4 linked regions of the Tamandua tetradactyla genome follow. The protein of the gene in region 1 binds, or shares a complex with, the protein of each later gene. Links are inferred from orthologs where the notes say so. Each region holds a gene or a part of one and is shown on either strand. Other genes may lie near its edges.

The links.
Region 2: the proteins of KRAS (region 1) and SOS1 are in contact, whole or in part, in a crystal structure (PDB 8BE4), measured with the Homo sapiens proteins. The link is inferred for Tamandua tetradactyla from reciprocal best matches to the Homo sapiens genes KRAS and SOS1. Residues at the interface, in NP_001356715.1 of Homo sapiens: Ser17, Ala18, Ile21, Gln25, Asp30, Glu31, Tyr32, Pro34, Thr35, Glu37, Tyr40, Asp54, Ile55, Leu56, Asp57, Thr58, Ala59, Gly60, Gln61, Glu63, Tyr64, Ser65, Ala66, Met67, Arg68, Asp69, Gln70, Tyr71, Arg73, His95; in NP_005624.2 of Homo sapiens: Lys602, Trp809, Thr810, Lys814, Leu822, Met824, Ile825, Arg826, Thr828, Thr829, Thr832, Leu833, Leu872, Val875, Ser876, Asn879, Ser880, Ser881, Pro882, Tyr884, Ser908, Asp910, His911, Tyr912, Lys913, Phe929, Phe930, Gly931, Ile932, Leu934.
Region 3: the proteins of KRAS (region 1) and RGL2 are in contact, whole or in part, in a crystal structure (PDB 8B69), measured with the Homo sapiens proteins. The link is inferred for Tamandua tetradactyla from reciprocal best matches to the Homo sapiens genes KRAS and RGL2. Residues at the interface, in NP_001356715.1 of Homo sapiens: Ile24, Gln25, His27, Val29, Glu31, Asp33, Pro34, Thr35, Ile36, Glu37, Asp38, Ser39, Tyr40, Arg41, Lys42, Tyr64; in NP_004752.1 of Homo sapiens: Ile651, Arg653, Glu660, Asp661, Gly662, Ser663, Val664, Tyr665, Lys666, Ser667, Ile668, Leu669, Lys685, Lys686, Asn688, Arg689.
Region 4: the proteins of KRAS (region 1) and RGL1 are in contact, whole or in part, in a crystal structure (PDB 7SCX), measured with the Homo sapiens proteins. The link is inferred for Tamandua tetradactyla from reciprocal best matches to the Homo sapiens genes KRAS and RGL1. Residues at the interface, in NP_001356715.1 of Homo sapiens: Ile24, Gln25, Glu31, Asp33, Pro34, Thr35, Ile36, Glu37, Asp38, Ser39, Tyr40, Arg41, Leu56, Tyr64, Met67; in NP_001284600.1 of Homo sapiens: Ile651, Arg653, Asn660, Gly661, Asn662, Met663, Tyr664, Lys665, Ser666, Ile667, Met668, Lys685, Asn687.

The regions. Positions count from the first base shown.
Region 1 is NC_135333.1:88,116,119-88,123,046, reverse strand, and holds the start of KRAS (GTPase KRas), read left to right. Parts: upstream 1-3,916; 5' UTR 3,917-4,090; intron 4,091-6,928. UniProt on the Homo sapiens protein: Ras proteins bind GDP/GTP and possess intrinsic GTPase activity. Plays an important role in the regulation of cell proliferation.
Region 2 is NC_135343.1:10,348,684-10,355,622, forward strand, and holds the start of SOS1 (son of sevenless homolog 1), read right to left. Parts: upstream 3,017-6,939; 5' UTR 2,974-3,016; coding exon 2,887-2,973; intron 1-2,886.
Region 3 is NC_135331.1:89,235,696-89,242,778, forward strand, and holds the start of RGL2 (ral guanine nucleotide dissociation stimulator-like 2), read right to left. Parts: upstream 3,017-7,083; 5' UTR 2,500-3,016; intron 2,269-2,499; 5' UTR 2,229-2,268; coding exon 2,067-2,228; intron 1,649-2,066; exon of another isoform or gene 1,615-1,648; intron 1,560-1,614; exon of another isoform or gene 1,438-1,559; intron 1,371-1,437; exon of another isoform or gene 1,124-1,370; intron 752-1,123; coding exon 668-751; intron 436-667; coding exon 257-435; intron 127-256; coding exon 76-126; intron 1-75. Other genes in the region: TAPBP (tapasin), read right to left, coding at 4,389-4,400, 5,112-5,149, 5,294-5,383, 5,458-5,799, 6,159-6,554. UniProt on the Homo sapiens protein: Probable guanine nucleotide exchange factor. Putative effector of Ras and/or Rap. Associates with the GTP-bound form of Rap 1A and H-Ras in vitro.
Region 4 is NC_135330.1:38,563,980-38,570,873, forward strand, and holds the start of RGL1 (ral guanine nucleotide dissociation stimulator-like 1), read left to right. Parts: upstream 1-3,892; 5' UTR 3,893-4,383; intron 4,384-6,894. Other genes in the region: ARPC5 (actin-related protein 2/3 complex subunit 5), read right to left, coding at 1,021-1,102, 3,399-3,541. UniProt on the Homo sapiens protein: Probable guanine nucleotide exchange factor.

The sequences.
Region 1 (6,928 bases):
AAGACAAAGTCTAATGAAATAAGTTTCCAGAGGAGATAATGTCTTGGGTAAGAGAACTAAATAGCACCTACTCAGTGGTACAAATTAGCCACCTGAGAAAAGAGGTTGTTCTGAAGTGGAATCCATGAGAACCTCCACAGTTGGCTCCTCCAGTGTAAGTTCCCTGGTCTGTGCACTGCTATTCTGGTCCCAAGATTCACAAATAAACAAAGGCAATGGTCTCCACCAAACATAAAGAAGTCCAACCACCAGTCAGGCAGCCTGTCAAAGAAAATTGCATCCCATAAAGAACCTTCCTTTTGTATAATGATCGACATTTGCAGCTAAATCCTTTCTCTAGGGATCTTTTGAATGTAAGTCACAGAGAGTGGTCAGTAGAAGCATAGACAGCAGAAGAAGCTGAGATTATAGATGAAAAAGCAGAGAGATGCTGATTCATGAGAATAGAAAAACTACTAAAGAAGGAGCAATAGATGCTTTTTATTGAAGGGGATGAATGGGACTTTGGGGTCACAAGAACTGAAGTTGACCCCTGAACTGAACAGAAGTTCCCTGACTGATGGTCTAGTTTTCTAAAATGTCCTTGTTTCCTTAAAACAATCCTTTGGCATCTGCAGCACTCTGAATATATCTCAGCCTTTTATATCCCAGAAGAGCCAAGCTAACCCAAGGTTATTTCTATTGTTTTGAAGTTTGTGTATGTACAGAAGGGGGTATCTATCACATGAAGGAAAGGGTCACCATGATCTCCATAAAACAGGATCAGAACGATATGCATATGTGCACGTGTGTATGTAGCTGCTTTTGCACAAGAGTATAACAGTAGAAACTTCAGTTACATCTTAGGGCAACCTGGAATTCCCATGTTTATACTTGTTTGTTATTCTCTTTCTCTTTTCCCACTGTGATAATAGTACAGGTCTGTGTGATTGTCCTTGGGGAGAGCAAAGAAAAGGAGAGCCAGGGAGACTATTCAACACAGTGGCCAGGCTTGGGGGAGAGGAACCCCGAAAGACAGCAGAAAGTACAGATATCAAGAGGAGATGAGAAGAATTTGAATATCTACATCAGAGTTTCTCAAAGGGCAGACTGCTAACCAACAGTCTAACATCCCCTCAATCGTTAAAGATTTCTGGCCCACCTTAAACTAACTGGATGGACTCTCTAGTGAGCCTAAGCGTTTGAGTTTCTAACCAGCATCTCAGATGATTCAAGAAGCACTGAAGTTAGAGAACCACTGCTCTAAGTTCTGTGTAAAGAAAGAAAGGGAGCAATGGTGGTGGTCGGGCTTTTGGCTCCTTAAAAAGCATGCAGGACTGAACGCTGAGGGAGCAAAACAGAAGAGGTGAAGTTGGAGTGTAGGGTGCATGAGGGAATAGTGGGGCACAGATTTGCTTTGGGAATCATGAGCCTAGAGATTCTAGATATAATGAGACCATGTGGACGGATTAGGTTTCTGCTAATGCCAGAATGTTTATAATTAGCGTAAAGTGCTATATAAAGCTATTTCCTCCCTCTAAACTATAGTCCTTTTAAGATTTATGGAACATCAACTATAGGGAGAACTCTATTAGCTACTGAGAGAGAATACAAAAGCTTACCATGTACTTGAAGTTGCACAAAATAAATGTTCTACAGTACCAAGCAACATATAAATAAGTGCAAATTCATTCACTTTATACAAATTAATTGTGTACATTGTGTACCAGGCACTTTTCTAGGCTCCTTAGCGTGTGGTTTATCAGAAAGGTGACCTGGATGAGTTTAAAGGTTGACTTTTGTAAGACGGAGATGACAGAAAGTGACTCTGTTCAAGTGGAGTCAGAGTTTAGAAGGAAGGCCTCATTCATTTTGCATTCTATAAATATTTACTGAGTGACTTATTTGTGTCAGAGACTGTCGTAGGCACTGGAAACATAGCAGTAAGTAAAACATAAAATCCCTGTGCTCACTGAACTTCACATTCTGATGGGAAAGAGACAAAGATAAATGTTATATGGTACATCAGAATGTGATGAGTGCTCTGGAGAACAGTAAAGCAGGTGGAGAGAAAGGATTTGAGGGTAGAGGGGGAAATTTCAATATCAAAGATGATCTTTAGGGAAGACTTCATTAAAAGAAGGCATTGAACAAAGATTTATAATAGGTGAAGGAGTAAGTTTTGTGGATATATAGTGGACAAATGTTCCAGATGGCGGGTTGCAAATGCAAATTCCCTGCAGAAGAAGCCTGCCTGAAGGGTTCAAGGAACAGCAAGGAAACAGTGTGTGTGTTCACAGGAGGAAGGAAGGGAAGAATAGTAGAGTGAGAGTTCAGAGAGGTAAGGAGTGGGGGGGTGGGGTTAAATCTCTCAGGCTTTTTAAGTCTTTGAAAGGACTTGAACTTTTGTGTTAAGTGCAAGGGGGCCAGTGGGGAGTTAGGAGCAGGAGTACATGATCTGACATAAAGATACGTCCCATTTTAGCTGTGTGAACTTGAGCTCAATATTTAACTTCTCCAAATTTGTTTCCTCACCTGTAAAATAGAGAAAAAATGTTCTACTCAATGAAATTGTTGCAATACTTTATTTATACATTTAGCAAATACTTGTTATAGATCAGGCACACTCTTTTCCCTTCCTGGCCTTCTGCTTCTTCTCTGTTGCCTCTTCTACCTGGTACCAGGGTGCTAGGCAAGGGAGACAGGAATAAGCCTTGCTGATTAACAGTCCATGTAAACGGTAGGAAGTAAAGGGTGACAGCTGGTGTAAGGCATTGTTTAACAGACATAATAGCTGGAACTTAAAAAAAAATTATTTTATTGGTATTGGATGATATGAACTAGGGGGAGAGATCTGGAACTCAGAGGAGTGATCATATTAAGTATAGGTGCTGGTTTGCCACGCCTGAATCTTCAAAATTCTCCAGAACAATTTATGTTTCTAGGTATCTAATCAGAGCAGACTAGGGATAGGTTTACATTTTTAATCGCTACCTTGTTTAATGTGGATAACTCATGAACTTAACTGATTAATCTTCAGTCTTCTAATTAATGTTTGAATGATTCTCTTTAGGCCTTAACTGTCAAGGGCACTTCTACTTAAGAACAGTTTGTGTTCTGCTTGGGCTTTCATGGCATTGGGTTACATTTGAGGTCCCGTTTTGGAGCGATCTTCTGATGGCCTCAAAAATGTCAAGAAAGACATTTTCTTCCCCCGCCCCCCCCCCCCCCCATTAAGATTAGTGACTAAAAGGTTTGTCACATGTCATGTTTGTTGAGCCTGGGACTAGATTCCCAGCCTCTGAGTGCTGATCTTCGCAATAATCATGAAGTGATCAGAAAGCCCCAGGATGGGTAATGAATGCTTAGTTTCTTCCTAAGTCACTGAAGCCACTTTTCACATTTGGTGACTCCCTTATTTACATGCAATAAATGATGGTAATTCAAGGTGCACGGTTGTTGGCCGATCCGAGGGATGACAGGATTTTTGTAGCCTCTCTGTGTAAGTGGTGCGTTGCGATCGCTCAGACGTCTCTGGCGTGCAGGTAACCACTGCAGTTCCGTCCGGGTCCGAACCTGCGGGTGCCTGGCTAGGAGGCGGGAAGGAGTGGGGTGCGGGTAGGCGCGCAGCCCCAGAAGCCCCACCTCCCAGCGAGGCACCACCCACGGCCACCTAGCCCCCCCACCCCCACCACAGGGCCGTTCTATCTTTTCCCCTTACACCCGTCCAGCCTCCGGCCTCCTCCACCGGCCTGGCCTCCCCCTCCTCGCCGCGGCGCTCGCCGACTCCCTCTCTTCCCTCTTCCCACACCACCCTCGGCCGCTCTCTCTCCGCAAGCTGGCCTGAAGAGGAATCGAGCGCGGAACACATCGATAGCTCTGCCCTCTGCGGCCGCCCGGCCCCGAACTCATTAGTGTGCTCGGCGCTCGATTTTCCTAGGCGGCGGCCGCGGCGGCTCAGGCAGCGGCGGCGGTGGCGGCGGCGGTGGCGGCTGCTCGGCCAGTACTCCGGGCCCCCGCCATTTCGGACTGGAAGCTAGCAGTGAGGCAGAGGCTCTGAAGGCGGCGGGCAGGGGCCAGAGGCTCGGCTGCTCCCAGGTGCGGGAGAGAGGTAAGGCGCGAACCACCCTCTCTGGGCCCCTACCCCAGTCCCGACCCTTTTCGCCGGCGCCGGGTGGGGCCGGCGGCTACTGAATGAATTAGGGGTCTCCGGAGAGGCGGGGAGGGGGCGCCAGCGCGGAGTCCCCGCGGGCGGGTGGGCGGGCGGAGGTCTGCAGGGGGAGGCGCGGGGACGCGGCGACGCGGGCAGTGAGGAATGGGCGGTGCGGGGCTGAGAAGGGTGAGGCTAGAGGCGGCCGCCGCTTCTGCTGCTTCCTGGACGGGGAACCCCTTCCTTCCTCCTCCCCGAGAGCCGCGGCTGGAGGCGGCCGGGGAGAAACTCGCGGGCCGGGTCAGCTGCCCGGTGGGGCGGTGGGGTGCTCTGGTGGTTACTACTGATGCGCTGCCGTCTCCCCTCCCCCTCGTCGTCCTTCCCTCTCCCGGCTCCCGCACCTCTTCCTCCCTTCCCAGCGCTCGACCGCCTCGGTTTCTGTCTTCTCTGCTGCATCTAGCATCTCTAGGACGAAGGTTTAAACTTCTCCCTCGAGCGTACGGTGGATGGATAGTGGTCCTTTCCAGTTTGTAGGGGATGTGTGGGTAAAGAGAGATCACGGTTTGGAAGAGCATAGAAAAGTGCTTTGAGACCACTGTCTGAGGTTATTGTGTTTGGAAAAAATGCATCTGCAGCCGAGTTCCTGACTGCTCCCCTCCCCCATGTATGGGCTGTGACATTGCTGTGGCTACAAAGGAGGAGGTGGAGGTAGAGATGGTGGTTGAAGAACAGGTGGCCAACACCCTACACGTAAAGAACGAACCTGTGATCTACAGTGAAAAGGAAAAAGTTAGTCCCAGGAGGTCTGTTTTGCTTCGTCAAGTTAAAACACACGCAGAAAACCCATAGAGCAGAAGCAGGGCTTTTCCCTTGATAGTTGAAGGGTGTACAAAGCAATAGCTAAAATAGTACTTGAAGTCTAATTTGTCTCTTTTCCTTTATCCCCCTCTCTTCTATTTACCCTCATCCATACAAATTTGTTGCCCGTCCCAAGAGTTATTATAATACTTCATTTAACAGCACTCATGATTCTTTTAACTGGCTTACAAGAGGAGTAATTGTAGTAATCAGCCAACTAACTGCCTGAAATACTCCTTGGTATGTGCATGTTATAGCTGAAGTCCTAAGCTAGCCTTTTAAGTCTGGTATTTCTAATTTTAGAAAGGTATTTCTAATTTTTATCCAGTATATATGTTAGGTTTGTAATGGAAAAAAAACTCACTTAAAAAGAAATTATAAAGGGAAAAGTCTATTCCTAATCACGTCAGAGTTTACCATTTATGACTGGTGCCACTCTTAGGTGACTAATGTCCAAAATGCTGACTTGAATTTAATAACTATAGAAATCAAATATGATTGATACCAGTATGGCCCTTTGAAGCTGTAAGCACCACAGGTGTACTTGGTTTTCAGAGAGCTGATAGATGGTAATTCCATTTTATGACAAGTAAAAGTGATAATTTTGTTTTTCAACAAAATTATTGGGTTCTGGTCCCAGTTCCACCCCTTTCTAGCTTTTGTAACTTTCGGTGAGGGGGTTCCCTTCTGGTCTATGATTTTCAATAAGAGTCTTTTGCAACCTAGTTCTCTCTAGTGGATTTAAATAAAACTTGGTTTTTAAAATCTGATAGGATTTTTCCCCCTGAAGTAACCACTGTATAAATAAGTAGATTGGAAGGTGTGTGTTTCTCCAAATCTGCACATGCATGTACAGCTGAGCTCTAATCCAATATCTATCCACCATATCATCTAGGTTAGCAGACTTTTTTGGTCTCAAGATAACTGCACACTCTTAAAAATTGTTGAGGGTCCCAAGAAGCTTGTGTGGGGTATATCTATCAATATCTACCATATTATAAATTAAAACTGAGAATTTAAATTTATTAATTTATTTTTAGAAATAAATAATAAAGTCATTACAGGGGGACATGGATAATTATATTCTTTATAAAAAATAGCTATTTTTCAAAACCAAAACAAAAATTGGTGAGAAGAATGCCATTGCTTTGCAGTTTTGCCAGTCTCTTTAATGTGTAGCTTAATAAAAGAGATTTGGATTCTCATCTCTGCTTCTGCATTCGGTCTACAGTGATCTCGTATCTGGGAGACTCTACTGAACACTTGTGTAAGAATGAGAGTAAACAGGGTAAATAACATCTTGGTATTATGATGACAATAGTGTTGGCTCCTCATTTCCCCCCCAAATCCTGAGGGCTTCCTCGACCACACTTTGAGAATTGCTGTTCTAGCTATCCAGACTGTTCTGGGAGTGGGTTGAGAGGATCCATTTGGTAGGATTCTATTCATCTGTTCCATTTGCTATGGCTTACACTTAGAATCAAAAGTAGGGGCAAACAGGATAAGTCATGTTTGTAGTGACTCTCAAGGTAGCACTAGACAAGCAACAGGTAAGGACAGATGGAGCAGAGAAGTGGGCCAGGAGCTGTAATACATCAGTTCTCTGATAACAGCAGTTTTCTTGTCTGTAGTGCTCTTTGTGAGAGGGCTCAGGAATAAGATGAAAAAGTAAATCATTTGACAAGCCAGATTATCTTTCTGTGTATATGTGTGCGCTTTTTAGCTAATTCTTGGTCTTCGGTTAAATTGGATGCTGCAGGTCTATAGTGTTTATCCACAGTATATACATGTTTGTTAATTTGGAACTACCTTATAATAAATTATTTGCATTTACTGGCATTCTTTCTACATTCATTCCTTATTTATAAATAGCACCATGTATTTATTGGGAGAAAGAAGATAAAATTAAATGTATTCATTTTACTTCTAAAGGTAAAATGA
Region 2 (6,939 bases), on another chromosome or scaffold:
AAAAAACAGTCAGTCCTACCTAGCTAAAGCATAAAGAACATGAAAGGTTATAGTAGGCAACCTAGTCAGAAAACCAGGATGAAGCTACATCAGTGACCACCACCAATTCCATGCTAAAAAAGGTGGGGGGGTGGGGGGAGTAAGTGGAAGGGAAAGAGGTGATGACTTTAGTTTGGAAAGTACTACATTTAAAGGATATGAAAGAAGTACAAGTACACAATATCCTTTTGCCCATTCATTCAAATAATCTGAGTGCCAAACAGTGCCAGGCAATATTTACATGGGGGATAAAAGGATGCTTCTGTTTTAAAGGAGCAACCTATCTAGTTGGGGGGACAGAAATAAATAGGAACTTAAAATTCACTGTTAACTGCTAGGGCAGGGTGCTAAAAGAAAAAAGAAAAAAAAAGAGGAGGGACATCCAACTCAGTCCTAAGAACTCTCAAGTTGAACGTGAGTCCAGAAGGAGGAGCAATGTTAGGCCAGGCAAAGAGGGGCAGTTCAGGTGAAGGGAACAGCATGTCCAAACAGTCTCAGGTAAGAGAACACAAGTTGGGCACATCTTGTGTTAGGTCAGAAGGATGAATTCAAGATGTGAAAATATCCAAATGAAATATCCAGGAGGCAAGTGAAAATGCAGGTTTTGGGTTCCGAAAAACACATCCAAATATGAAATATACTTTCAATCTTTTCTTAAGTGGCTTAGAATCATTGTTAGTTGGTGTCTGAATGAGAAATTCCAAGAACCTTACATATCAGCTAGATTGTATACACTTACACCTGTTCACCAACATTTCTACTGTTATTACGTATCTTTGCTAAAAGTCAAACACTGGTTTATGTAAATACGCCAGATGAACTGGTGGGGACTGTGGTAATTGGAGATAAATGTTCTATTTAAAGGGGGCAGCCATTTACTAATTTCCAGTCATATACTTCCTTGCATGAATGTAGACCCAACACTGAGAGATCTTTCTGCTCGTCAAGAAAGTTTCAAAATTTAGATTTTATATGCTCCCATTTTTAAATACTGGCAACTAATTACATTTGAAAATAACAGCTAATTGGTATTTCAGAGATAGAATTCCTGCCTACCATGCAGAAGACCAGGGTTTGATTCCCAGCCCATGAACCCTGGAAAAACAAAACAAAACATTCAGCAACTGGTGCTGCAATGACAGGACAGTCACATGGAAAAGAATGAAATGTGACCCCCACCACACAGCATACAAATAATAACAGCCAAACGAAATGTTCTTGTAGACAGAATTCAGCAAGGCCCACCAGCACAGCAGTTAGACCAGGTCTGCCAATTTCTACACTGCTTTTTCTATCCTGCCATATGACCCTTTGGTTCCCTTGGAGTAGGAGTTGTGTCCTTCTAAAGCAAAACAGCCCCAAATTGCTAATGTTCTCTAAGGTTTTTTTTTTTTTTTGTATGTTTTGAACAGTTTTTCTGTCTACCTCCCAGTCAGAATATCTTCTAGCCTTTCCTACTCCCTTTTCTGTTGTAAGCTATCAGGCCAAGCTTTCAGGTAAAGCAAACGTAAATAAAGTGAAAACCTGATGGTATTTCTAATGAATAAAAGATATATTCTGTAAATCAACTCCTTGGTCTTCTTAGAAAACAGAATCACAGAAATATTTATGACTAATCAAACTTGAAAAAAAAGGGCGGCAACTTAAATCTGAACTATATGAGCATATTTTTCTACAGTTAGAGATGGAGGGTGGAAGGCAGTTAAGAACAGGACAAAAGGGAAAGTAAAAGTTTCTAGCCTTTGAGAAATAGCAGACATCTTTTAAGATGCATTTTTTAAAAAGCACAAATGTTTAGTACAAAAGGAACATTGTAATCTTAATTCTCAGTGGGAGCAAATATGTACATATATATTTTTTTAACAGATAACACAAAACATTCTTTGGGCAAAAAAAAAATTAGGGTTTTGAAATACTATTAAAAGAGGAAAATAATCTCTATACTTATAAAAAGGTAAATGAAGGAAACAAAAAGTACTCTGGTTGCTTTTAAATCCATTCAAATACACCAATTTCTGAGGTTTTAATAGAATATGTGTTTTTAAAGTGACAACATTGCTTAAGGAAACTTTTAAAATTAGCAACATTTCCTAATTATACTAGAATACTTAAACGATCTGAAGAGAAACCAGAGTATACGAAAACATTTAAAAGAACAGATCGTAGGATATAACTTTAGATAACTTTAGATAAGTGTGGCACACTTGAAAAGAAAAAAGAAAAAGCACATAAAAGGTTAACACTTGCAATCGACAAACCAAAAACTAGTACCAAGATTCTCGAACAATCAACGACCACAAAAATCTGAAGAGTGGCCTTTGCAGGCGCCCGGGTTGACCCGAGGGGTGGGGGATTCAGGAGAATGGGGAGTGAAGACTGAAGGCGAGCGGAGCAGGCCGTGTCCCCACTCCTGCTGGCAGGCGAGCTGTGCCATCAGAGTAAGCATCAGGGCCAGAGCACTTCTCGAGCCCAGTAAAACAGAAGGCTGACAGCAGCTACCGGGTGAGGGGGAGACGGAGGAAAACTGGCCTGCTTTGACCTCCACGGAAAACTGAGGCTCCTCCAACTGTAGCCTTCGAATCGAGGCGCAGGGCATTAATCTCTCAGCGGTCGGAGGATTCCTACGAAATCTCCGTGGCGCCCTGCGGCCTTCCCACACACCGGCCGAACGTCAACGGCGAGGACTAGCCGAGTGTGGGGGGCCCTCTCAGTGCGCACTGTCCTTTCCGAGAGGCGGTGAGAACGGGAAGAAAGCCAGCCCAGCGCGCCCCGCCTCCCCAGCCCTGCCCCGGCCGGGCAACCTCACCGGGGATGCAGCTGGGAAGCGGGGTCCCGCGCGCTCCTCACCTTTTTCAGCGCAGGCACCAGCAGACCCCGCCACTTGGGCGCGTTCTCCTCGCTGAAAAACTCGTACGGCAGCTGCTGCGCCTGCATGGTGCCCCCCGGGCGCCTCTGGGCTGGGAGGGGGGCGGCGGCGGCGGCGGCGACCAGACCGCGGAGGGAGAGGGCGAGCTCGCCGCGCCGAGCAAGGCCGCGACCCCGCGGGACAGCCCGGCCCCCTCGGGGCGCCGCGCGGCCCGGCTAGCCCTGACGGCCCGGCTGGGGGCCGAGGCCCGCGCGCGGCCACCTACCCGACACTGGCACTAGCCGAGGAGAGTGAAGGCAGCCCGGAGGCGGCGGCATGCCGCACCACCGCCCCAGGGCCGAGCCCCCCCACCCCTCCCCAGCCCGCCGGCGCCGCCCCGGGCTGCCCTCCGCAGCGACCGACGCTTGCCCGCCGGGGCGGCGCTCCTGGGCCCGGCCTGGCCCAGCGGCGGAGCCGGCGGCGAGGGGGAGGGTGTGTGGAAGGACGCTCAGGCCGAGGCTCCCACTGCGAGCAGCTGGGACCCCGAAACGCGCAAGGCCCCGGGCGGGGCGGAGCTGGGGCCGGGGTCTAGCGGGGGAGGGGAAGGGCCTTGGATCGCTGTTGGGGAATCCGGCCGCAGTGAGGTGGTGCCGCCGCCGCCGCCGCCGACACCGGTGTAACGCTCCTCGAGCTTCCTACTTGCGAACTGAACCTGCTCACCACTGAGCATGCGCCGCCGGGCTGGGTCGATTCGCTCCGGGTTTTCGGCCTCTCCAGTGAAGGCCGAGGGAAGTGCGGAGGAGGGAGGGCTCCGGGCTGTGCTGCCGCTGCAGCCCAGGGGGCTGCCGGGGAGGGGCGGAGAGGCCCCAAGAATTCCGACCCCAGGCAGATTGGGTCCCCAAGAAGTCCGACCCCGGGCGGACTGCGGCCCTGCGGCGGTGGGGAGCCAGGGGGCGGCGGCGACCTACGGTGAAGCGGCCCCCATTGGGTGTTGGAGAGATCTGGGCCTTTCGTTTCGTTCCGAGGTTTTAGCGTATGTGTACTTTGTCCCCGACCGTGAAGATAAGGACTGCCCAGAACATGTACGATATAGTAAACAGACTGGACAAAAGATAGGATCCCTTCTCACGAGAACAAAGTGTTCAATGTTCGTGGGGTGGTAGAAATGATTGCAGTGTTTCCAGTCGGTCTTTCCACATACCTACAGGACAAAATGTGGACACGTAGTATTGAGTTTCTGTTATGTGTTTTCAGATTCAGTCATTTCATCTTTCAAACCCATTTCAAATATGCACTTCTCCAATAATCTCTCACCTTCAGTGGAAACAGACCTGTTCTGCAGCTCCGGGAGCACTTTACTCATGCTCCTCTCAGGACATTTAGTCTATAGTATTTTGTATCTTTACTCTTTAGACTAGATAATAAACTCCTGGAAGAGCAGATCTTTTTCACCAGGAGCTCTACACAGAATAGCCTCGTGGTAGATGTTTGTGGAATGCTAAAGGAGCATGATCTCTAAATTGCCTCCCCATCCTAGCATGCAAATATTTGTTTATAACAGTGGCACTCTGTAACCGTCTCATGATTTATCATTAAACACATTTTGAGCACTATCCTATTTAATCCTCATAGCAACCCTACTGTTCTCGTTTCACAGATGAGATCTCATTTAGAGAAGGAGTCGGGTTGAAGGTGACATTTACTCTATCTCTGAGAATTGCCAGGATCACATTGATGAAAAATGCTTAAGCAGTGGCTCTTAATCTTTAAAGGACCTCTTCGTGGATCTGAAATAAGTCTTGGTCCTTTCCTTTTAAAGTGGTCACACATGATTTACATGTTTAAAATGTTCCCACACTTTCAAAGGGGCCAAAATAACATTTTGAAATCTGTCCATAAACCCTCTGAATAAGGAGTAAAGAAACCTTAGCTTGGAGAGGAATTGGAGGCACAAGCAGGGGTCTCAGAGGATACCATGTCAGCCATCTTCAAATACCTAAAGGACTATGATATGAAAAACTAATTGGTTTGTATGGTTCTAAACGACTGATCTAAGCTCACTCTTCTGCCATGAACTCTTCCTTGGGCTTCCCGTTGCTCTGAGATTACATCTCCAAGGTACTATGGCCCACAAAGTCGTGCATCTGGCTCCTGCTTACTTTCTCAACCTTGACTATCCCACTCAGTCACACCGGCCTTTCATCCACTCCGAGAAAACACGAACCTCTTCCCTGCCTCTAGGGCTTTGCTCTCTCCTCAGCTTGGAACTCATTGCTCCTAGCTGTGCACTTGGCTAGTTTTAAACCTCACATCCGAAGACACCTCCTCTGATCACTCTAAATAGTTCCTGCTTATTTTTTTCTACAATAAACCCTATTTATTTCCTTGCTAGCCCTATTATCACAGCCTATTTTTTGGTTATTGTCACTTCTCTCCCCTCCCCCTGAAATGTAAACACCAAGCGGATCAGCAATCGTGTGTGTATAGTAGGCATTGCACTCCCAAGATCTACGGTGCCTGGCACATAGTAGGTGCTCAATAAATATTTTTGAAAGGGTGAAAGTTGTATGGAGGAAACTTCCAAGAAGAAGACTACATAAACGGGGAGTCGTCGGAGGTTTACAACTACACATTCACTCACGCGGTATATCGAGAAGGGCTAAGAGGTTGGACTTGAAAATCTCGGAAAATGCCTCTCACCCACTGGCTCCCCAACTCCGAGTCTCTGATTTTATCGCAGAGGGAAACCAGCTCCAAAACTACGGATTTCAGCCTGGACTGGACAAGCTCAGAGACCGGGGCAGGTTTTCACTAGTATGGATATTTAGGCCGCAGGCTGAGAGCAAATAGCTGGAGGAAATTTGCGGTGAAGACACCCATTGCTTCTCAGCTGAAAGACAAGGGGGCAGTGGGGCCAGGCTCGGCGCCGTTAAAGTCAGGGAGCACTCCAGCTCCTCCGCACTGTTCGCCTATTTCTCGTTTTCTTGGGACAAAACAAAACACCTACGGACGTGAGACCAGTCAGCACCGCCGTGGCGCGGAAGCCCCCTACCGTCAGCCTCACCAGCCAACTGCGGCGCCACGGCGCAGGCGCCGAGGCTGCGGCTCACGCCCCTCTTCAGACCCAAGAGCCCCGCGCCAAAGCGGACGGGACGCCCGGGAGTGAATCCAGGCGGACTAGCCGAGGCCCGAAGAGGGCGCGTCCAGGAGGTTTAGCCGAACTTCGAGCGTGCAAGTCGGAACCGGGACACTGAGGAAGGGGGCGGGGAAAGCGTTTGGCTCCACAGCTCGCCCCCTGCAGGCGGAAGGGCGCACTCGGCGCTTTACCGCACGCGGCTGGCCTGGACCGCGCTGCGCGGTTCCCTCCCGTGCAGTGACCGCACTCTTCTTCCTGAAGCATCCTTCAGAACCCGTTACTCTCCTGTTCAAGAGCCTCCACTGGCTCTTCAACAGTCCAGAGTCCTTAGCCTGGAATTCATGGCCTTGAACGCTCGGGCCAACACTTGTCTTTCCAACTGTATCTCCCACTGGAAATGAGCAACCTGTTGGCTCCTACACATCCATCTCTTTTCTGCTTCTGTCTTTTTCATACACCGTTCCATCTGCCCGGACTGCTCAGACCCATTTTTCTCCAACCCCACGCGCCACAGCCCCACCTAACCCTCTCCCACCATACACGGTTGTTAGGTCGGGGGAACAGGGGTCACCAAGACTGGAGCTGTGTAAAATGTGCCGCCCCTTCTAGACGTCACCTAACCCCCTTGCTTAAAACCCGCCCGCACCAGGACCCAGCGGCAAACTCACAACTCCCTACCTTACGCTCTGTGAGCTCTGCCCGGGAGCGCAGAATAAACTCGCTCACTTTAAAGTTTCTTGGTCCGTCTCTTCTCTCTTTTCGCCTCCTTAACCTTACATTTTGGTACCCAAAACCCGGGAGAAGAGTGCGGGTGCTGCCCGCCTGGCCAGGGGCGACCCGGCCTCCTCTCTCCTCTTTCCTCCACATATCCAGCGACCAGGGAATCCCTCGGCCGCCACTGCATCCACCACAGATCGGG
Region 3 (7,083 bases), on another chromosome or scaffold:
GAATCAGCCAGGGGTCAGAGGTCAAGCTACAGGTTGGGTAGAGGAGACTGAGGTTAAGGGTCAGAAGTCACTCACCCTGTTGTCCTCTCTAGTTCATCACTTGGATGAGCTTCAAGGGCTTCCAACCTGGGAAAGGGAAGATAATCTATCTGTCCATTTTCCCTCAACTCCCTGTGGCTTTGGATATTTTGGTGGGATGCTTTGGCTTTAAGAGTTCCAGAACCTCCCATTCCCCTGGCCCATTATGACCCCTGACCTGTCAACAACAAGTCCCAACAGGGCAGGAGTGGAAGTAAAGGCCCGGTGGGTGGCCAGGAAGGCTGAAGTGAAGGTCATGTCAGTCCCTGATGTCCGAGAATCCAGCAGGTGTCTCACCAGGGCCTCCAGAGTGCCAGCTCGGAGTCGTCGGGAAGAACGGGGGGGTGGTGTGGGGGCCTGGGGGATACAGAGGGCCAGTCCTCACCCTTCCCTTAGGTCCCTGGAAATTATCTCAGGCCTAGGAGATGATCCAGGTACATTTTACTGAGATTCAGAGAGGGCAAAAGACTAGGCCTAAAGTCACACAGCAGAGTCCAGATCTCCAAAACATCAGGCTAGCATTCTGGCCAGAGGAAGAGGAACTGAGAGGTGATGGGTCAGAGGTAAGAAGCCAAAGTCATGATCTCACCAGGGGTTCAAGAGGCTGGTATTGGCGACTTGTGACAGTAAAGGTGGCACCATCCTCCTCTTCCTCCCAGACAGATACAGGGACCTGGAGGACCAAGGAAGGGGAGATCAGACAGTCCCACACCACCCCCAGCCTTCACACACCACTCCCAGGCCCTACCCCTTCCCTCAGTATCCCTCACCTGCGAAGGCAGGGGATAGTACCAGCGTGTGCGAGGGGTGGGGGGGGCTGGTGACCCCAGGTCTCCCCCACTGGGGCCCAGACAGCCCCCCCCCAACCGCCTCAGGGCCCGGTGGAATCGAGGGAGTTGGAGAGGAGGGGTGCTCGGAGTGCAGGAACCCTGATCCTGGAGACCACCAGAGCCCCTTCCCCCCAGCGCTAAACCCAAAACACAGCAGAGAAGCAGGATACCAAGTGCAGGCTGAGGGAAAGCGAAAGAGGCAGAGAGGCAGAGACCTAAAGAAGCTGAAACCTCAATCACAGGCACCACCACATGCCCCACCCTCCCCTTGTGAGGGAGCAGCCAAGCTCAGTCAGTCTTTCCTCCAGGTCCCCTTTTCCCCAGGTCTCTCAGGTGGGGCCTCCGCTCTCTTTCTCGCCCTGGGGACCCCCAACTCTAGTTGGCAGCTAGGATCTCAGTACAGGAAAGAGAAGGGGAAGTGAGGATGGGGGGGGCGCGTGCGCTCAAGGAGTCACGTGGCCCCAGTCCCTCCCCTCCCCCCCCCCCCTCAATCCCGAAAAACCAGCCCAGCCAGTCACCCGGCCCTCACCGAGCCTCTGAACTCAGGAGTCCTGGGCCTCCGGCCCCATATCCAACTCCTTGACCCTCCTGAGGCCCCAAATCCTGCTCCTGGTCACCACCATTAGTCCCTAAGGAAAGCCAGTGACCACCTCCTACCCAGCCTAGGATCAGTCGCTCCAGAACTTTGACTCCCAGGCCCTTTTACCTAACTCCTGCTCCGGGGAGGGGGGTGGGGGGCGGGGTCACGAAATCTGCGGGTAGGGTTCCCTCCCCAATCCCAGAGTCAGTGGAGCTGGTTACTGTGGAAACAAACCCCTCCCCACCAAACAAAAAAGGAGGAGGGAGACAGGGACCAAGACAAAGCTGCCGGGATAAGCAGCCGCACTCAGACATAGCCAGAGGCCCGCAGGTACAGCCAGCCAGTCGCTCCAGGCGGGGACAGTACAGCTTCCTGCGCGCAGGTCTGAGTCACACTGATACACAGAACCACAGAGGCGCCGGGACTCCCTGCGTAAGGGAGACGGGCAGACACCCAGCGAGAGGCGCGGAAATAAATTAAAGCAGGGAGAAAGAGATGCAGGGGCACAAAGACACCGAAAGGTGGAGAAGGACTTCGAAATATATACCGCCCTCTACCTCCCACCACCCACATCTCACCTCTTCTTCTTCCTCCTCCTCCTCCTCTTCCTCCTGCCCCCCGCCCACGCCCGGGCCACCCGAGCCCCCACCCTCTTCGGGGTCCCGGCTCCGGAAGCTGCTGAGCACGACTCCCTCGGGGGGACTCGCGTCCAAGAGCAGCCGCAGGGGCCGCGGGAGCATGGCCGAGCGAAGGAATCAGCGGGATCGGGCCATGGGGCGCCTGGGGAAGAGACAGGGGTGGGGTGTGAGGGTCAGGAGGTCACGAGGGGGCCGGGCAGGGTAGGACCGCGAGTGAGCATCTAGGTAACCGGAGGGGAGTCTTGGAGGGGAGGCTGGGGGAAGAAGGCAACACAGGGGAGGAATATGGGGATTCCTGGTGCATTTTGGGGATGAGGGGGGGTCACGAGTACCCGGACGGACAGGGAGGGTCACAGGGTGCTCAGGCTCTAACCTGCTCGGGAGGGGCGGGGGCAGCACAGGTCCTGGGCCGCTGTTCCAGTCGGTCTCCAGCCCCGGACCAAGTCCCCTCCCCGGCTTTTCCGTACCCCCTCGGATTCCCCTGCTGGGCTCCAGGGCCTCCCGCCCTTTCCGTCCTATCTCCCCACCCCACCCCACCCCCCCCGCCCCGTGTCCGCTCGCTCCTAGAGCAGGCGGGAGCCAAAAGGGGAAGGAAGTGAAGACAGGAGCCAGGGCCGCGGACTAGGGGAGCGCCGACTCCCAGGGTCCGGGACCCAGGAGCCCTGGCTTCCACCGTGGTCCTCCGGCCCCCCACTCCAGGATCCTGGAGCCCACGTCGTCCCGCAATGAATTGGGATAGATTCCAGTCTCCAGTCCCCGGGGAAGGCAGGAACCGAATTTGCCTCGCCACCAACACCACCACCAACAACAACAACAAGGCTAAGACCCCCGCAGGAAGCGTTTTAGGCGGAGACCCGGTTATTCCGCGCCAGCGGGGTTACACTTTCCACACCCACCCACGCATGCAGCGGACCAAAATCCTGTCCGGGATTTTTGAGTAGTCCTCGGTTCCCGCCCCCTCGTAAAGGGGCGGGGCAGGAAGCCGCCACTTCCGGCTCCAGGGTTTCCGCTGCTTGTGGCCGGGATCTCCGCAGCTTTTTGGTTACCCGGGACACCCCGCTTCTTGAAGGCCCCCTATTCGTCGTTAGTGGCGTCGGACCTCAAATTTTCTCGAGGAGAATGGGATTGGATAGTTCCCAGGCCTTTAAGAGGTCAGGGTGGTTAGGGCAAGGGTGACTGGAAGGGTCATTGTACTTGGAAAGGGGGGCCGCGAGGAGGAACTTGAGAAACCTCGTTAGAAGCACGGAAACACAACTTTATTCCTGCAGGGTTTGAGCCATTTCTCCCGCGGGCGACCTGCTCCCCCTAAGGTCCCTACGCCGAATCGCACCATCCGTCCTGCAGTATCCTGCAGCTATTTGATAAGCATTTTCCCATGAGCGCCAGACCCCGTGCTGGTGCGGGGAAAGAGCAGTGGACAGATAGGCTGAATTCGAGGAACCGACAGTTCGGGAGGGGATACACGCATTTAACAACAGCTCTCACAATCACTTAAATACAACCATGGTGAAACGTACAAGAGGGTCACTAGGCTGCCTGGGTAATGCCAGCGACCTGGTTTGGGGGCCCAAGAAGGGCAAGGATGGGCCTGGCAGGAGGAACAACGTCCTGGGACCCGGACATGGGCGGAAGACATTTGGCTCTTTAGAGGAAAGGAATGGCCGTGGGTATGATGAGCACTGAGAGTGGGTATGGAGAGCACCTAGTGGTGTTGGAGAGGTAGGCAGGTTCCCAAATGCTCCCGGGAGGCATGGGCTTGGGCAGGAAGGCTGGATTCAGCCCCTAGAGCAGCGATTCTCAAATTGTCTGGGCATCCCAGAGACTATTTGAGGAGTTATGCGAGGTTAAGACTATCTTCATAATATTTATTTTGTTATTTGCCTTTTTCACTCCTCTAAGTGTACAGTGGAGTTTTCCAGAGGCCGTATGATGTGCATTCACATCATTGCTTTCACTTATGTTATTGTGTTTTAAGTTCTGTTTTAATTCCTGGTATGGTAAATATCAATAGTTAATAACCCACATAAGCAAATGCTCTTTAGGGTCACTGATAATTTTGAAGAGGTCCAAATGCTAAAAAGTTTGAGAACCACTGCCCTAGAGCTCTAAGAAAATGACCATCATAAGATTTGTATCTTTTAAAAAAGCACTCCAGCTGCTCAGTGGAGAAAGAATTGGAGGGGGTAGGAACAGATGTCTTCTTCAGCAGCCTAGGTCAGAGAGGATGGTAACTTCAGCAAGGTAGTGGTGGGGAGGGTACCCTCACTGTGCTTTCTGGAAATAGAAGAAAGAAGGAGGTGAGGAATTCAGGGTTTGAAGGCAAGGAGAGGTGGTAAGGCTTAGTCCAGAAAAACATGAATCATCATGGATGCACAGAGGGTGGAGCTCATATTGTGTGTTTTCTGTCTGCCAGACACTGTGCTGAGTGCTATATATGCACCCTCTCCTTAAACAGCCCAGTAGCTCTCTGAGGCTGCACTGTCCAGAAACCACTACCCTCATGTGGCTAATAAGCATTTGAAACGTGGCCAATCCAAATGGAGATATGCTGAAAGTATAAAATAAACACTTGTTTTGGGAGATTTAGTACAGAAAAAAAAAAGACTATGATTCCTTATATTGATTACATATTGAAATAATGTTTTGGATATACGACATTAGACATTTTTAAAATTAATTTCACCTGTTTCCTTATACATTTTTTCAATGTAACAAATAGATTGATTAATTGGACAGCACTCCCTAAGTAATTTTTGTTATCCTGATGTTATAGACATCCAAGGAAACTGAGAGCTGAGCTCTAGGTTAGGTAACTTAGTAAAGGGGTCCTATAGTTCAAGATGTTAGTGGCAGAATTTAACCTAGGTCTGTGTGGATCTCAAGTCTGCATTCTGCTCACTACACTAGTAGCCTCCCTCCATGATGGGTTCAGGGGAGGGGATAAAATTAGAAGGGAAAGATAAGGAGAGGTGGGGATGTAGTTACCTTTTGTTTTGAATCCGTGGAAGTGGACCGACAGGCAACTGTGGAGAGAGTTTGAGGGGTGGGATGGAAAAGTGGTAGGGGGGGAAGAGCATGGGGGGGGGAGAAAGATGAGTGTTAGGCTTATGGTAGTGGGTGGGAGAGTCCGCGAGTCGGGGGTCACGGTCGGGGTGGGGCTTACTCACCGATCCAACCCAAAACCTTGAAAAGCCCGAGGAGGAGAAAGGCAGACAAGAAGAGGCCCACGCCGTCCTCCAGGGAGGGCCCGGAGAGGCCTGGCAGGCGGAAGGGATGAGAGTGAGCTCCCTGCTATCCCGGACCCCCGCCCCCAAGCGCTCCCAACTCTTACCTGCCACCTCCAAAGTGACCTCGGCGCTGCGCCCCAAGGCGGGCAGACTGGGGTGGTGGACGCGACAGGCGTAGCGTGCCCCATGCTGCTCGACAGTGGCCGGGGGCGGCAGCAGGTGCCCAGAGAGGCTGACAGAGCCATCCGAGTGGTGGCGCAGGGCAGAGAGCCACCTCTGGCCCTTGACCTTCCGAGAACCGCCCTCGGGGCCACCGCGGAGTTCCCACTCCAACTCCAGGCCATTGGAGGGGTAGAAGTGGGACACAAGGCAGACCAATTCAGGGGGTGCCTCCCCCGGAGCAGCCCATACCAGAGGTGTTGGCGTCAGGGACACTTTAGGGGGTTCTGGGGAGAGAGTAGAAAACTGGCATCGGAGTAATCAACCCACGCTATCCTCCCTCAGAGATCCTTAATTTGCCTTCACCCTCCCCAAACCTGAGAGGGTTTGGGTTTACTCCCCCAGGATGGGGAGCCCACTGTCTCCCCATATAATAATATGTATTATCCTTCACATAATTACCCATGCCAAAGCCCCCCAGATTCCTAGGGACTCCCATCCCTTCCCATTACCTCTCTGACTCCCAGGGATCCCTATCCATCTCCTCTCACCTAAGCACTCTTTTCTCCATCCTCCTCCTCTCGGTGGTCCCTTAATACCAGTGCCCACTCCCAACCATGGGAACACTTGCCTCCCTCCTACTCACTGTACACAGCAAGCTCCAAGGTGACCTGTCCTTGCAGATATGGCAGGTGAATGGTGGCCAGGTAGGTGCCCTCCTGGAAGGGTCGTACTGCAGGCAGCTGGAGGGTCCCATTTCCGGTCCATGGGCCCCACGGTTCATCGTCATCCCAAGCAGCAAATGCCACTGCCCCCTCTCGGGCCACTGAATTCTGCCCATCTAGCCCAGGGGTTGCAGTAAGGAGCAGTCGCCCCTTACCCAGGTGCTGGCGTCGCCACTCTAGCCCAAAGGGAGGGGGACCCCGGGTTGGGGATGTAGCCTCAGGGGTGGGGGGCATGTATGCGAAGCTCAGGTCCAGCATGACATCCTGGCCCAGTCGGACCTGAGGAGTGGGAGTGTGGGTGAGGACAGTCAGCACCACTGGGGAAGATGGGGGTGGGGTTCCGAGTGGGAGGACACATGGGAGAGAAAGGAGGGGAAAAAAAATAGAGAAATGGAATTACAGGGAGAACTGAGCTCCAGTTTACTCACCCCTCAAAGAATACCTTCTTTCCTGATGCACACCATTTCCCAGTCCTCCCTGCAAATCCCCTTAGCTCCACAGCTGGGACAATAGGGGCAGTACATGGGTGCAGCCCTTGAAGGCTGCTCTGTACATGCAGCCCACTCAAGCTTTCAGACAATGGGATCTGAGGGTACTTCCAACACCTCGTGAACCAGTCTCCACGTGCTACCCTTGAAGAGCTGAGCCTTTCTTGGTTGCTGTTGAAGACAGTGGTGACCCATGACCTGCAATCCTTTGGTGCTGGACGGAATATCTATTGACTCTGGAAGGTTCCAGCTCGAGCCTAGACCTGAGTACAGACCTCCATGTTCTACTAGGGCAGTGGAGAATGAGGGTTAAGTGCCTGGAACCTGGCTGCCTTGACTCAAATCCCAACTCTGCAGT
Region 4 (6,894 bases), on another chromosome or scaffold:
CTTTACATAAATTGTTGCCTAGATAATTATTATGCATTTACTTAAGTTATAACTGCTTTTTACTTAAGGAGATTCTTGAGTCTCCTAGTATATGTAAACAGCCACTGGCAGCGGAGATCAATGCTTTGGGCTTAATTTTAAATATAAATAAATAATAAATTAGTCAGTAGACAGGTTCTTAATAACTAGTGAAAGACCATTGCTGGAAATGTAAATTGTACAACTTTTCTGAAGGGCAAATTGGTAATACCATATGTATCAGACCCCTAAAAAAATGTACACTATTTGACCCTGTAATTCATTTCTAGGAGTTGATCCAAAGGAAACAATTCAGGAATTTATTAAAAAAATATTCAATCCAGTACTGATATAATAGGAAAAAAATGTTCAACGATCTAAATGTAGAACTAATGGTTAGTTAATACATAAACTGAAGCCTATTTATACACTGCCATTTAAAATGTTAAAGAAATAAACATCATGGGGGAAAGATGTCTATGTACACTACTATACAATTGAAAGAGTAGGTTATAAAATTCCATTTTTATTTTTAAAAAACTAATAGAAAAAAATTTATACGCATATAGCCATATACCCCCCAAGTTATTGCTGGGTGGTGGGAATATGGACGATTATCTTTTTCTCTCTATAGAACTCTGGATTTTCTATGATAAATATTTAATACTAGTATAATTAACAAAATATATTTAAAAAGCAAGCAAATAGAATGTTCATTTCTGTAAAAGCTTAATTTTTCAAGCCCTTGCTCAAATTTAACCTGTGTGGCCCCCTCTAAAAACACACAGGAATGATTTGTCATTTGAATTCTTTGAACTTATTATACCTACCATGCATTATCATAACTATATTAAAGAGTAATTTTTCAAATCTAAATAGTAAGCTCTTCTAAGTCAAAGACAGTGAATAGCTAAAATAGTTTGCTGGTTTTGTGAAACTTCAGGGGATTTGGGGACAAATGATAAGATCCCAGTAGAGATCACTGGGCTGTCAGTGACTCACCTTCACCGCCTGACTCTTGGTGTTGATGGGGGGATTTTTCAGAGCTGCTTGTAGAGCAGCTGTCATATTTCCTGTGATGGAGGTTAAGGAGATAAAAGCAAAGGATAGCCCCTAGGAAAGCACTATAACTACTGATAACCATTGGTTTTTATAACTTGACTTTTACATAAAAAGGAAAAGTTACTATAGTCACTATGTTCACTATTGGAAAATTCAATGTGCCAGTTTCAAAGATGGCCTTCAAAGGTAAACTACTGAAAACAGAACATTACATTATTTTTTTGTAAAGACTTTTCACCTTTGGTTCTAAATAGCAAATGAATACCTTGATAACCTTTCATATTCCCGTGGGAAACATATGCACGCAATATCCAGAGTGGTATTAAACCCTAAAATACATATCAGAATTATTAGGTCCCCTAGCAATCAAAATGTCTTTTTTATGTGATTATGACTAGGAAAAAAAATTAAACTTTTACCAAAACTTTATTCTATAATAGTTGAAATTCTGGTAGAAAATCCTGGTAGATTACCCTGGCATCTCAACAATATTATTAGCATTTCTCAATATTGATGACAGGAGACATCACAGAAAGTGTAATAACACAAACGACCCTTAGGTGGCAGCTTAATTTTTCTGTTTTGGATATATTCTTTCAGATCATTCAAACTGTTTTAGCCCATACCTATTACATTTAGCCTCTTTGAAAGCACCACTGGGTTAGCTACTATGAGAAACGGAAGGCCAATCAGACTATTAGAATGTACAGTCATTCCCCTAAAAGGAAAACCACTAAGTTCACTTATTTCCTCCATCTCTAGTGCTGGGCTCCCTCAGAGAAGGCAGGCTTATCTCCCCTGGTTCATAACAAAGGCTGAAGAGATATCTTTATATTTTAAGATAAATTGATTAAAAATCAGATCCACTGAGAGGACTACAGCACTATTATTTAAGCGTCATACAAATAATCTAAAATAGGCTAAATTAGTCTTACAAAACTTGATTTATCCATCCTAAAGAATGTCAAAAAGAATAATATTTTCCACTTATCTTCCGGAGAAAAAAGTCTGTCCAAAAAACTCAAAGGTTGGTGATAAACTGTTATTTTCAAACTTCTAGCGAAGCATGCCTCTTGTAGATTGGTTCATTTTTTAAGATGCAAAACATATCACAAATATCGAAATAATGCAAAATCGTAACTGATTGTGAAAGTTGAAGAAATCAAGGGAACATATGTACGTTGATAAAGCCAAATATAGTTGTACCAAATATTTCCCCCATTATAATTTAATAGAACATGCATGAGGAAAGAGTATGAAAAGCCTTCCTTCTTTTATGGACAGGAATAATTAGAAAAGCATGAAGTTCAGCCCCCCAAAATCTGAAAAACTGCAGCTTGTATGGCAACATCTACATTTTTCTAAAAAGATATGATGCAAATGCGAATAACTAAATATGATTACTCAAAATACGCAAAACCAAAACCCAGGCACTGACAGTCACATTTTAACTAAAACGGAAACAATTTTAGGGATTCCAAAAATGTTTCTGCTTTATACAAACGACTCCTCTTCAATTTTACTCACGGGAATTTATTTTAAATATATCCACGGGTTCTCTTTAGGTCTTCCCCGTTTTCTACCAACCTTTTCTCGAGCAGGTAAAGCACTCCAAGCTTCCTTTCTTGGGAATTTTGTTTTGTACTCACTCCCCTCCCCTCAGTTAAATGCCCCCCCCTCAGTTAAATTTTGTGCAAGCTGTATTTTGCCAAATCCTTTTTTTCTTAAAAGAAAAAAAAAGGAAAAAAAAAAAGGCAGCAGTAGGTCGTGGGCTGAAAAGACCTAGGATCTCATTCTGCGAACCGCGGTATCCCTCCTGGCAAGGAAGAAACTATTTCAACGCAAGAAAAAAACAAAAACAAACAAAGCCACTAAAGAAACATGCCCTTTCCCCGATCCGAAATTTCTGGAGCGACAGCGAGTCTAGTAAAGACCGTTCTAGGGAGAGCACAGAGAAAACACAGCCCTACCGACAGGCACCTAATTCCTTCCCCAGCGCAGCGAGGGCGAGGCTGGCGAAGCCTGTTCCCCAGAGGCAGGAACTCCCGGAGCAACCTGAGGAGTCCGGGCGCGTGGAAGGCGCGTTCGGAAGGGCAGGTTCCCCAGCCTGGGACCCTGAGGTCTCGAGGCGGCTCTGTTAGAATCGGAGGGAACCTCTCACTCCTCAGAATGGGGCCCCCAAACAGGAAGGTTCCACCCGCGCGCCGCAGGGGCAGCTCCGCGTCCGTCCCGGGAGGGGTCCCTGGCCCTCCGACCCCGCGGGGTGGCGGGGTCCGGAGAGAAGAGCCGGGTGGGGAGCGCGGGGGACGCAAGGATATTGCCGCAGGCAGGAGTCCACCTCGCCTTCGTCCGGCCCGGCCTGGCCGTCGCCTCCGTCTTCCTCGTCCACGAACTTGTTCTCGTCGTACTCATCCACGTCCACCTTCCGGAACCGGGCTGACGACACCGTATTCTTCGACATCCCTGATGCGGACCGACGGCAAAGGCCTCCTCTTGGTGGGGACCGCTCCTCAACAACCCCAACCCAGCAGAATCCGCAGCCTGCGCCTTCACTTCCCTCTTCCGCTCTGGGGCGTCGCCGGCAGCCGCGGCTCAGGCGGTTCTGGGCCTGCGCGGTGGCCCCGCTCCTTCCTCCTTAGGTTCACGCTCTTCTCCAGCCTCCTACGCCCCGGGCGCTGTCCCCAGGAGAGCGCGGCAGGGAGGGAGTGCGCAGTGCGCATGCGCAGACTCTCCGCAGGAAAGGGGCGGGGCTGGCTGAAGGAGGCGGGGGCGGGAGGGGGCGGAGTAGGAGGCAAAGCGAAAAGCGGTACCGCTGCCAAAGGTAACAGGCAATTGGTTGTCCGAAAGCGTCACGTAATCCCGAGGGGGTTCCCATAGAAACGCTTCTCTGCGGTCCAGTCTGGGGGGTCCGAGGTTGAAGGCTATGGGCGCAAGGAGCCGGCGGCCTTGGCTTTTGCTGCTCTCCCGGCTGAGCTGTCATTGGAGTTCTGCGTAAAGTCCGGCTGATCTGGCCTTACCCATGGGGTGAGATGGACTGGTTGCCGGACCGAGTTCCCTGCAGTTGGCAGGAGGATGGGGAGGAGTGGTGTACGCCCGGATGCCCAGCGTCGTTCTAGTTGTCGGAGACATCGCTTCGGACACCGCGCTTCAGGGGACGGTCTTCCCAAGCTAGGTCCCCTCCCCGGGTTTAGAACTACATCGTGCGGCCAACGAGAGGTCCCCAAGGACGGAGTCGAAAGGTCGTATTTTATTTCTCAGTGCTGTGTGACAACATCATGACAGGACCTGCAGAAGCTGAACTCGGTATCGTGTCCATTGGGAAGGAGGGGAAGGTGGCTGGGAGGGGCGGGGGTTGGGTGGTAAAACCGGAGAACCTGTAGAATTTGGTCAGTCATTATTCACATCTTAAAATAGGTGGTGGTTTGGAGCAAGAATGCTAGAGGAGGGTGGGGGCAAGTTAGGCTCTCTGGTGCTGAGGGGAAACAGAATGTGTTAGGATTCGTAGAAATGAGACCCTTAATATTTATATTTATGATATTTATATTGTTATAATATTTATATTATGATTTATATGGTGCTACTAGGCCAGCTTTTTATTATATTTGGCATCCCCATTTCCGAGACTAGAGCTGTTATTGAGGTAAAGCCACTATAAAAAAGGTAGCTGTGCTGTATGTATTACAGTGAAGTACAAATTAATTAAAAGTTCAAATATATGCAGAATAAAATTAATTTGAACATTTAGCTGGACACAGCTCAGGTGGCTTCATATTTTCCTGCCATTCTATCAGATCCAGTTTAGGTCCTCCGTTAGCAGAAGGCTGACTGTTGCCCCTGTTGAATAACTCAATACCTGGTTTTCTGTGGTGTATTGAAAAGAGCACTGGGCTTAGAATCATAAAAACCCAGACTTGAGTCTTGGCTACAATTTATAATCTGCTTGAGGCATGCAATTTAAAATTTTTAATCTCAGGTTCCTCATGCCTAAAATAGGAATAATGGTGTGTATTTCATAAGATTCTTATGAAGATTAAATGCACAAAAGTGTTTTGAAGCGCTAAAATTCTGCATTAATGTAAAATGTATGTTACCTGTACCATTGATTTGGGGACTAGCTTTATAAATTGCTAAATGATATATTATGTTTTAACTTGCCCCCAAAAGAGATTGCAAAATTCTGAAGGACAGACCATATAGATAGATAGATAGATAGATAGATAGATAGATAGATAGATAGATAGATAAATATATATATATTTACCTTTCTTTACATCTGTCATAAAGTTAAGCTTGCAGAAGGTACTCAATAAATGCTTGGTGGAGAAATGAAGTGTGAAAGGCAGTTAGGTTGAAAACATACTGAGAATAATGAATCACTAAGAAAAGGAAGAGAGACCTCAAACCTTTGAGAGAGAAAGAGAGAGAGAGAGAGAGAGAGAGAGAGAGAGAGAGAGAGGAAGAAAGAGAGAGAGAGACATCTCAGGAATTGAATGCATCTTTTTTCCTTGGGAGAGGAAAACAATGTGGTATTTTTCATTTCTCGATTAAATTACCCTTCTAGAAGATATGTCATTTAGGTGACAGAAAGTGGCATTTCTTTAAATTAACATTCAAGTTTTAAACAAATATACTGATACAAACTCCCCTAGGACTGTAAAACAGCAAAGACAAATTTTCTACCTGTTAGTAATATTTATTTTAAAATATCGGATACCAAAATACAAAATTATTGCTTATGGTGAATGGCGTTATATAACTTAGAATAAAGGTTTGTTTTAATATTTGTTCTCAGTTTAAATCTTCTGCTAATTTTAGTAAGAGCTAGACAACATACTTATTTAGATTCTAAAGATGATTGTACTTTTTGTTCTTATAATTCAGGATTTTCTTTGAAGAGAAAATTGAGCATTAAAAGCACTATTGAGAGTAAGTGGCAACAAGGATTCAAGAGTTAATAATCCCTTCTCTTACATTTCTAGTCTTTTGTATTAAGTCTTGTTTAGGAAATCTTTCTATTCTCTTATTTTAGAACTGAGAAAGACTTACTGGGTAAAAATCAACTTAAAGGGAACAGTGAGGAGAATTTTTAAAAATCGAGGTTGCTCAAGGGTATAATGGTTTTTATTGCTCAGAATTTTGCACTGTATGTTGAATGTGTTAAATGTAATTAATTCTTAGCCTCAAAATACATACTACATTTCAGATGTCAAAAAGGTTCTTTTTCCACTGCAGTATTTTTTACTGTCTCACAATGAACTAAGTGCCTAGGTACATAGTTGGTGCTCAATAAGTTTCTATCAAATGAGTTAATGATGTGACAAGTTTTGGAACAAATATAATTTTGGAATTATATTTAAAAACTGAGTGTTTTTGAATAGACATTAATACCCACGTTAGCTAATAGTTAAATCTTTATAAATCTTAGGGAGATGTTTTGTGAAGAGACTCATCCTTAGTTATCTTTTTTTCTTTTAATTAGGAAATACACATTGTACACATTATCCCACTTCCTTGCAAATTTCCAAATGTTTAATGTTAACTATGATATTTAATTCATTGTAAATAATATTAGTCTCCCTATTTTACATTTCAAGATGAGTACTTGACCCTGAACTAAAGAATCCATAAGGTTTTGAGACATTTGATTTTTTATGTAAATAACCTGGTTTGGACTACTACTAAAGCGAGACAGAATGTGAATTTTCTAAAAGTTAATGCTGCATGATAGTATATAGCTCCTTCTAATTTTCTATGATGATGCAAAGTCAAGGGTCTTATTAGTTAGAAGAAACTTTAATAGCATGATCCTATAAT